Cricetulus griseus: one gene and its partner. The protein of the gene in region 1 purifies or fractionates together with the protein of each later gene. This does not show direct contact. Links are inferred from orthologs where the notes say so. Each region holds a gene or a part of one and is shown in the gene's direction. Other genes may lie near its edges. The genes, in order: Pim1 and Edc3.

The links.
Region 2: the proteins of Pim1 (region 1) and Edc3 purify together in Homo sapiens (affinity purification with mass spectrometry; 3 studies listed by BioGRID and IntAct, counting the BioPlex papers as one, with this or other methods). This does not show direct contact. The link is inferred for Cricetulus griseus from reciprocal best matches to the Homo sapiens genes PIM1 and EDC3.

What each region holds. Positions count from the first base shown.
Region 1 is NW_023276806.1:257,963,062-257,967,447, forward strand, and holds the start of Pim1 (serine/threonine-protein kinase pim-1), read left to right. Parts: upstream 1-1,313; 5' UTR 1,314-1,550; coding exon 1,551-1,632; intron 1,633-1,755; coding exon 1,756-1,862; intron 1,863-1,959; coding exon 1,960-2,010; intron 2,011-2,130; coding exon 2,131-2,497; intron 2,498-3,982; coding exon 3,983-4,159; intron 4,160-4,386. UniProt on the Homo sapiens protein: Proto-oncogene with serine/threonine kinase activity involved in cell survival and cell proliferation and thus providing a selective advantage in tumorigenesis.
Region 2 is NC_048597.1:169,351,861-169,356,233, forward strand, and holds the start of Edc3 (enhancer of mRNA-decapping protein 3), read left to right. Parts: upstream 1-1,335; 5' UTR 1,336-1,408; exon of another isoform or gene 1,409-1,483; intron 1,484-4,373. UniProt on the Homo sapiens protein: Binds single-stranded RNA. Involved in the process of mRNA degradation and in the positive regulation of mRNA decapping. May play a role in spermiogenesis and oogenesis.

The sequences.
Region 1 (4,386 bases):
CCCACCCTGGCCGCGATCAAGAATTTTCCTCCTCCTCCTCCCGCCCGCCCTCTGCAGAAGGGGCTGAGGCAGCATCTGGCAGCAGAAAGCTAACATTTGTGTCGTGATTTCTTCTCTCTCATGCACTCGGACACGGGATGATTTCGGGAGGGATCAAACAGGACCTACCGCTACCTCTTAACTAATTACTTATTTTTTTCCCTGCATTTCTAAATCGAGAACCTTTATGCTCGGGTCTCTGTTGAGAAGCCTAGCTCGCCCCCACTATGCTCGCAGGCCTGCCCGTGACTCCTTCACTCCCTCGGTGTTCAAACGCCGGTGACTCACGTCTGCACAGCCTTCGCCCCCCAAAACACAGCCACCACCCCCAGCACGGCCCACGGAGCGTCGTCGTCACCGCGCCCCGGCAGCCTTGGAGGTCTGGGGGCTGAGTCACACCGGAGGACCACCCTGATCGGCGTCCACACACGCACACACGCGGTCCCTCCGTACGGCCTCCGCAACAACGCCCTTGCCTGACTCGCAAACTCGCTACGCTCCGGCTCCGGCTCCGGCTCCGGCTCCGGCTGCGGCCCCCGCCCCCGCCCCGACACACACCCCCCGATCCCGGAGAAACCCCGAGCCGGCGGAGCTGGCCTCGGGCGGCCTTTGATGGCTTTGTTATTGTTTGGGTTTGAATCGATACGCCCCTCCCTCCTCCCTCCTCCCTCCCTCCTTCCTCCTCCCTTCGCATCCTTCCTCTCCGGCCGCGCGCGCCACCCAGCTCCCGCCTCCCCGCACGCCTGGCGCCCCTCCCCCTCCGTTTTGGCGCCTTTTCCTTCCCGCCACGTCGTGGCGGCGTTAGCGACCATTCTGACCGCGAGGCGCGGGGCGGGGCGGGGGCGTGGCCTCGGCGCGTTTATGCAGATCGGCTGGCTCCTGGTTGGCTGGAGCCGCGCCCGCGGGGTGGGGCCGGGAGAAGCGGAGCCTCCGCGAGGGGGCGGAGCGGAGGGGAGCGGCCCTGGTTCCGCCGCCTCCCCGCCCCCTCTCCGCCTCCGCCGCGCCAGCCGGGCTCCCCGCCTCGGCCTCCCGGAGAGGCCCCGCCCCGTCCCCGCCCGCCGCGCGCGCCCTCCCCAGCGGCGCGCTCCGCCCCTTTACTCCTGGCGGCAGGGCGAGCCGGGCGTCTGCAGCAGCGGCCGCGGTGGCGGAGGAGGCTGGAGGGGAGTCGGCAGCGCCGGCGGCGGGATCGGCAGTAGCAGTAGCAGCAGCGGCAGCGGCAGCGGCCACAGAGGCGGCGGCCACAGCAGCAGTCGCAGACAGCAGCAGCCCTGGGTCCCGCGGCGCCACTCGCCCCGCCGCCTCCCGCACTGCCTGACCCGGCCGGCGAGCCCGCCCGCCGCCAGCGCCCTCAGTCGTCCTCTGACTCGCCCTCGGCCTTGCGCGCCAGCCGCAGCCCGAGCCGCAACGCCACCCGCAGTCTGAGCCCCGGCCGCCGGCGCAGCCCCAGCTCGCCCCGTCGCCGTTGCTGCTCGTCCCAGCACCGGCCCCACACCGGCACCCTGGAGGTGGGGATGCTCCTGTCCAAGATCAACTCCCTGGCCCACCTGCGCGCCGCGCCCTGCAGCGACCTGCACACTACCAAGCTGGCGCCGGGTGAGCGTCCCCACCCCACCCCTCCCCGCCCCGGGCGCGCGGGGCGCGGGGCGCGGGGGACGCCCGGGGACCCCCCTGCGCGGGCCGCGCGCTCAGTGTCCCGTGCCTCTGCTCCCTCCCTAGGCAAAGAGAAGGAGCCCCTGGAGTCGCAGTACCAGGTGGGCCCGCTGTTGGGCAGCGGTGGCTTCGGCTCGGTCTACTCGGGCATCCGCGTCGCCGACAACTTGCCGGTGAGTGGGCACCCCGCCTCGGGCAGGGCGCGCGCGCGGAGGGATGCTCTGGGCAGCAGGAGCGAGGTTCTGATGGAGACGCGGGGCTCTCTTCCAGGTGGCCATCAAGCACGTGGAGAAGGACCGGATTTCCGACTGGGGAGAACTGGTGAGTGAGCCCGGGCCCGCGACCCTCCCTCGTTCTGGGTGGCTGGCTGGGTGGCTGGGTGGTGACGGGCGTGCCGGAACCGGCGCGCTGACCCCGGCCCTCGCTCGCCCTCCCGCGCAGCCCAATGGCACCCGCGTGCCCATGGAAGTGGTCCTGCTGAAGAAGGTGAGCTCGGGCTTCTCGGGCGTCATCCGACTTCTGGACTGGTTCGAGAGGCCCGACAGTTTCGTGCTGATCCTGGAGAGGCCCGAGCCGGTGCAAGACCTCTTCGACTTCATCACCGAGCGGGGAGCCCTGCAGGAGGAGCTGGCTCGCAGCTTCTTCTGGCAGGTGCTGGAGGCCGTGCGCCACTGCCACAGCTGCGGGGTCCTCCACCGCGACATCAAGGACGAGAACATCCTGATCGACCTGAACCGCGGCGAGCTCAAACTCATCGACTTCGGGTCGGGGGCGCTGCTCAAGGACACAGTCTACACGGACTTCGATGGTGAGCCCTGCAGGCCCCGGGGAGGGAGGGAGGGAGCCGCCGCCGCCGCTGGCCTCCTCGGCTCCGGCCCTTTGTAAAGGTCATTGGGCCGCCTGGCTCCGTGCTGGCAGGGGTGGGGCACAGGCGAGCTTCCCGGCACACTACAGCCGGGGATTTCAAGCCGGTTGAACGAACCTGCAACATTTCTGGCGTGGTTGTAATTTTTCTTTTTTTTTTTTTAAGTGGAATTTTAGTAAATTCCATGCTTTCCCGTGAATAAAAAGTCGTAGGCAACCGGCTATAGCCCAGATTTCTAAAGTCTGACCCACTTTTCTCACCAGTAGAAGAAGGAGGTGGAGCCGGTGGTGGCGGGAGACATTGATGCCGGTTTTGTAGTTTGTTTTGTTTTGTGGGGGAGTTTTAAGGTAGTTCTTAGAACTGCATGCAGGTTTTTGTCTTGTTTTGTTTTTGAGGGTTAAGGAATAAGAGACGTGGTTTCACTACACTTGGGGGTGTTGTGGGGTGACGAAGCCTGCAATGTTGTGAAATAAGATCTGTTGCTGGTTTGAAAATTAGTTGGGTGTCTCCCGCAGGGAGACTGAAAACCTATCCTAGGGAGGGGCTTGGATCGCGTTCTTTCAGAAAAGGAATGGAGGGATACTAGATCAAAGCGAGAGGGTGGGTTATGATCTGAGTGGCTCACCCTGACAAACGACAGCCTTTCAAGACTTGTGACTGCCTTGTGGTTTGTATTTCTTTGCCAATGGAGGACGCAGGGTTGGGCTGCATTTTTTGTATTTAACAGTTAATGGCTGGCTGAGTCCTCCCTTGTGTGTGTTTTTTTTTTTTTTCCTCCCCCTGGGCAAGTCTTTGCTGCCCCCTGTTGAGCACCATGAGGTTAGCACTTTTTTACTATCCAAAGTTTGTAAACAGGAATCACGTGGTCTGAAACCAGCCCTGTAACTATGCCTTTCCTGTCTGGGGAGGAAAGAGTGTAGGTATACTGCTTTGCTTGCGCAGAACCCAGAGGAAAGCTTTCTGAAGGGGGTCCTCACCCGCTTGGGTCTAGATGAGAGTCTATTCTGGCAGGGTACTGGACAGGGTCTGGGTAGTTGAAGGCTGTATCTCACTGTGAGTTCTACCGCCTAGGGCCTCAGACTTTTGCTTTTCAGTGGCTCTGTTCATCTTTGTGACAGTTTGTAAGGGATTTCAGTTTAGGGTTGAGACTGGTGGAGAGGTACCCTGTTTTGGAGAGGAAAACAATGTATTTTTAAGTAAGCCAAATAAATGGTGGTGGCAGACACCTTTAATTCTAACATTCAAGGCAGAAGCAGGGTGATCTCCAAGTTCGAGGTCAGCCTGGTTTACAGATGGGCTTCCAGCACAACCAGGGCTACACAGAGAAACTCTTGTCTCCAAAAGAAAATTTTTCAAAGAAGCTACTCAGCTTAGTTGCTTTGTTTATTTTTGCTAACATAGTTTTCTTTCAATTCCCTCGGCTGGCAGGAACCCGAGTGTACAGTCCTCCAGAGTGGATTCGCTACCATCGATACCATGGCAGGTCGGCTGCGGTCTGGTCCCTGGGGATCCTGCTCTATGATATGGTCTGTGGAGATATTCCATTTGAGCATGACGAAGAGATCATCAAGGGTCAAGTGTTCTTCAGGCAAAGAGTCTCTTCAGGTAACTTCCCCGAGCCCTTTGGTGGTTGGCACTGGGGTTATATTTGAAAGGCTGGTTTTGAGAGTGTGTCTCCACTCTTATGAGTGCTGGGATTACAAGAGTGAACCATGAAATCTGATGCTATGTAAAAGAGGGTATGGGGGTTATATCCTAGCCATCGTTTGTTCTATTTATTCATTTTCTTTTGGGGAGACAGGGTCCCTAAGTAAGGGCCCCTGGCCTGCTTC
Region 2 (4,373 bases), on another chromosome or scaffold:
ACTTCCAAGCAATCTCACCACCACCACCCCCCCCCATCACCACGTGCTGACTCTCAGGAGATACTTCCCAGATTTCACTTCAATAATGCTATTCTCTTCTTAAGGACCATTAATTTCTCAGCTCCAGCCAAACAGCATTTAGTATCCCAGCAAAGGTTTTGCTTCAGCAGTTCTGTTAATCACAGCTGATTCTTCAGTTCCAACTAACCAGAACCACAGAATCTTAGTTAAAAATAGCAAATGGTACTGACAGTCTTTAAACGTCCCTCTGAAATTTCACAAGCCAGGCTTCCATCAACTGCACGGTCTCAGTGTTCTTATCTTCTGAGCCCCTTGAGAACAACTCACTGAGCTCTCAACATTCTGTGGTTTTTCTAGCCCAAAGTTCCAAGGTTCTTCAGCAACCCTCCCAAAAACATGGTCAGGTCTGTAACAACAATATCCCATTCCTGGTACCAACTTATCTAGTGTGGGTTCCTATTGCTGTGATGAAATACCATGACCGAAAAACAACTTGGGGAGGAAAGGGTTTATTTTGCTTATACTTCCATATCACTGTTCATTATTGAAGGAAGTCAGGACAGCAACTCAAACAGGGAAGGATCCTGGAAGATCCACAAGCTGATGTAGAGGCCATGGAGGAGTGCTGCTTACTGGCTTGCTCAACCCTTTCTTTTTGTTTGTTTGTTTGTTTTTTTTGGGGGGGGGTTCAAGACAGGGTTTCTCTGTGTAGCTTTGGAGCCTATCCTGGCATTTGCTCTGTAGACCAGGCTGGCCTCGAACTCAGAGTTCCGCCAGCCTCTGCCTCCCCAGTGCTGGGATTAAAGGCGTGTGCCACCAACGCAGGGACTCAACCCTCTTTCTTATAGAACCCAGGATCACCAGCCCAGGGATAGCATCACCCACAATGGGCTGGGCCTAGCTCCCATCAATTACTAATTAAAAATGCTTTACAGAGTTGCGTATATTCTTTTTTTTTTCCCTCTCCTCCGAGACAGGGTTTCTCTGTGTAGCCTTGGCTGTCCTGGACCTCCCTCTGTAGACCAGGCTGGCCTCAGGCCTGTCTCTGCCTCCTGAATGCTGGGATTAAAGGCGTGTGCCACCACCTCCAGATCCCAGATCTTATTCTTATGGAAGCATTTTCTCAATTGAGGTTCCCGCCTTTCAGATAACTCTAGCTGTGTCAAGTAGACAAACTAGCCACCACACTTGCAGTGTTACTTTCTTTCGTTTGCTCCCTCAATGGCTCCACTCAACGCCGATCCTCTCAAATTTCCCGGGAGTCCCGCCCCCTGGCCTCCTCACTCCGGCGTATTACGCTATCAACGGAAGTGACATCAGTTCAGGTCTGTAAGGCGCGGAGGCGTTTCCGGCGGCGGCGGCGGCGGCTGCTTCTGTGACTGTGGAGGTGGGCGTGAAGCCCCTTGGTGGTGTTTTGGCGCCGTGGGATCGGCTTGGTGTGGTGTGGTGTAGACGGTGGGAGGTGAGCGCGAGGGAGGCCGGGTGTTCGCGGTGCTCCTTGGCTGGCGCTTCCGGGGTGGTCCACTCGGTTTGATTTTTAGGCTGCGAGCTTCCAGGCCTTGTACCTTTATATTGGCAAGCAGGAACTCTCTCTCTCTCTCTCTCTCTCTCTCTCTCTCTCTCTCTCTCTCTCTCTCTCTCTCTCTCTTTCTCTCTCTCTCTCGTGCGCGTAGGATTGGCAGGCAGGAACTCTGTGTGCGTGTGTGTATGTAGTTACTCCGTGTGTGTGAGTGTGTGTGTGTGTGTGTGTGTGTGTGTGTGTGTGTGTGTAATCGTTTGTATGCGCGCGCGTATCGGGTACTCACAGGCTACGTCTAGAGCCCAAGGATTTGGGTTAGATGTGCGAGTCCCGAGATAGAGAGATGGGAGGCGACAGCGGTCTAATCTCTCTCGGGCCGTTTTAGGTTGCCACAGCGACACACTCTCTCTCTCCCCCTCCCCTCCCTTCCCCTCCCCTCCCCTCCCCTCCCCCTCTCCCTTCCCTCCTCCCTCTCTCCCTCCCTCCGTCCCCCCTTCTCTCTCCCTCCCTCCGTCCCCCCTCTCTCTCCCTCCTCCTCCCCCTCTCCCTCCCTCTCCTCCCTCTCCCCCTCTCTCCCCCTCCTCTCTCTCTCTCTCTCTCTCTCTCCCTCCCCCTCTCTCTCCCCCTCTCTCTCCCTCCCTCCCTCTCTCTCTTTCTCTCTCTCCTCCCTCCCCCCCCTCTCTCTCATCCACTTCTTTTTGCTTCATTTCCTTTTGGCCACAAGGGTTAATAGTCGGGAAGAGTGCGAGTGCCACGTGGTGGTTGGTTGCTAACTGTGACAGGCAGGGATGTGGACATGGATACCGATGCCCTGCCAGTGCCCACGGTTAACTGCTCTCAGTGCACTGCTCCAGTTGTCAGTCCTTTCTCTGATGAGACTGCATTTGTTAGTAAAACTTGACCTGTGGTTTTGAGTGTTGGTGTGTATTGGAGGAATAGCCCTCACCAACTTTGTTAGTTGATTTTCAGTCTCCCAATTGCAGAGCTAAGAGGAGCCCTTAATCCTTCTACAATACAGATGACTAACCCCGAGCTGTTAGTATCTCACCTGGAGCCCTGAGGTGTAACCCAGTTTTTTGTTTTTGTTGTATGTATTGGGCAAAGAACTACCTTTTTTGGAGACAGTCTCACTGTGTAACTCTGGCTGGCCTAGAACTCTCTATGTAGACCCAAAAGACCTGCAACTCGAAGATCCTTTTGCATCTGCCTCCTGAGTGCTGGGATTGAAGACCTGTGCTGCCACCAGCCTTGGCTTTTTAATTACCAAGTATTATTGGTTTGGGTGTTGGGCCCAGTTGCTTTAGCCTCTGGAGTACTGCAATTATAAGTGTATTTCACTATACCTGACTCTACTTGGCAGTTTCTAATACAGTCAAATACAATTGTGACTCTGATTTTTCTGTGTAATATGAACAAGAACACATGTAGACATGTTAGTTATTGGGTGGCTGGAGAGATGGCTCAGCAGTTAAGAGCACTGACTGTTCTTCCAGAGGTCCTGAGTTCAATTCCCAGCAATCACATGGTGGCTCACAACCACCTTGAATGAGATCTGGTGCCCTCTGCTAGCATGCAGGCAGAAGACTGTATACAAAATGAATAAAATCTTTTTTTTTTTAAAAAAGAAAGAAATGTTAGTTATTTAGAATGGAACTTAGAACTGAAAATAAGCCAGCTGTTTATCTTGGTAGACAGGCTAAAATAATTGAGGTATACCTAAATAATAAAGTACAGACAGTGTAATTAGCTTTTGCTTCATGCAACAGTTGAATTTTACAGATGTACTGTTGATGAAAGGAAGCCAGACACATGAAACTGCGTGATTCCACTTGTGTGAAGTTTTAAAACAGCATAGGTTGATCTTTCCTGATGTCAGAATAGCAGCACCTTTATAGAGACACAGTGGAGCCCCTTGTAATATTTAGGTCATAGCTCTATGGGGGATTGCTGTGAAAAATTTTGGATGACCAAATGTCATGGTGCATACCAGTAATTACAGTACCCCGTAGCTGGGGGCGGGGGGGGGGGGGGTGGTCTTGCGTTTCAGCCTGCCAGGGCTACATAGTGAGGCCCTGCCTTAGGATTTTTTGTTTGTTTTTCTGTGTAGTGATACTCTTTTATTTGGATTATAACTAGATAGCAATTTGTTAGGCAGAGGCAGGTGGATTTCTGTGAGTTCTAGACCAGCCTGGTCTACAAGACAGGTTCTAAAGCTACACAGAGAAACCCTGTCTCAAAAAACAAACAAAAAAAAAAAAAGAAAGAAAGAAAGAAAGAAAAGAATGCCTCAATATTTGTCCTGTGCTAGGGATGTAACTCAGTAACAGCTTGCCTAGGGACAGGCACAGGCTGTGGGTTTGATCTCCTGCTAAACATACACACACTTGCGTTTGAGTCCAGCCTGGTCTACAATGCTACACAGAGAAACCCTGTCTTGAAAAGTAAAATTACTTTATTTTTACATGTATGAGTGTTTACCTGAATGTATTTCTGTGCATCATGCGTGTGCAGTATTTGAAAAGACCAGTAAAGGACATCAGATCTCCTGGAATTGGAGTTAGACATGAATCAGTGTGTATGCTGGGTATTGAACTGGGATCCTCTGAAAGAGAAGCCAGTGTTTTTAACTGCTGAGCCTTCCCTCCAACCCTTTTTGTTCAGCTTTTTAACTTTTAAAAAAGTTTTGATGGTGCTAAAAATTAAAACCAGAATTTTGTGCTTTCGAGGCAAATACTCCTCCGCTGCTGGGTCACATCCCCAGCCTTCTCTTTTGAAAGATTTTGTGCTGTTATCTGTAGTGCATACACTAAAACAACTGTGTGGTCTTTGGGGT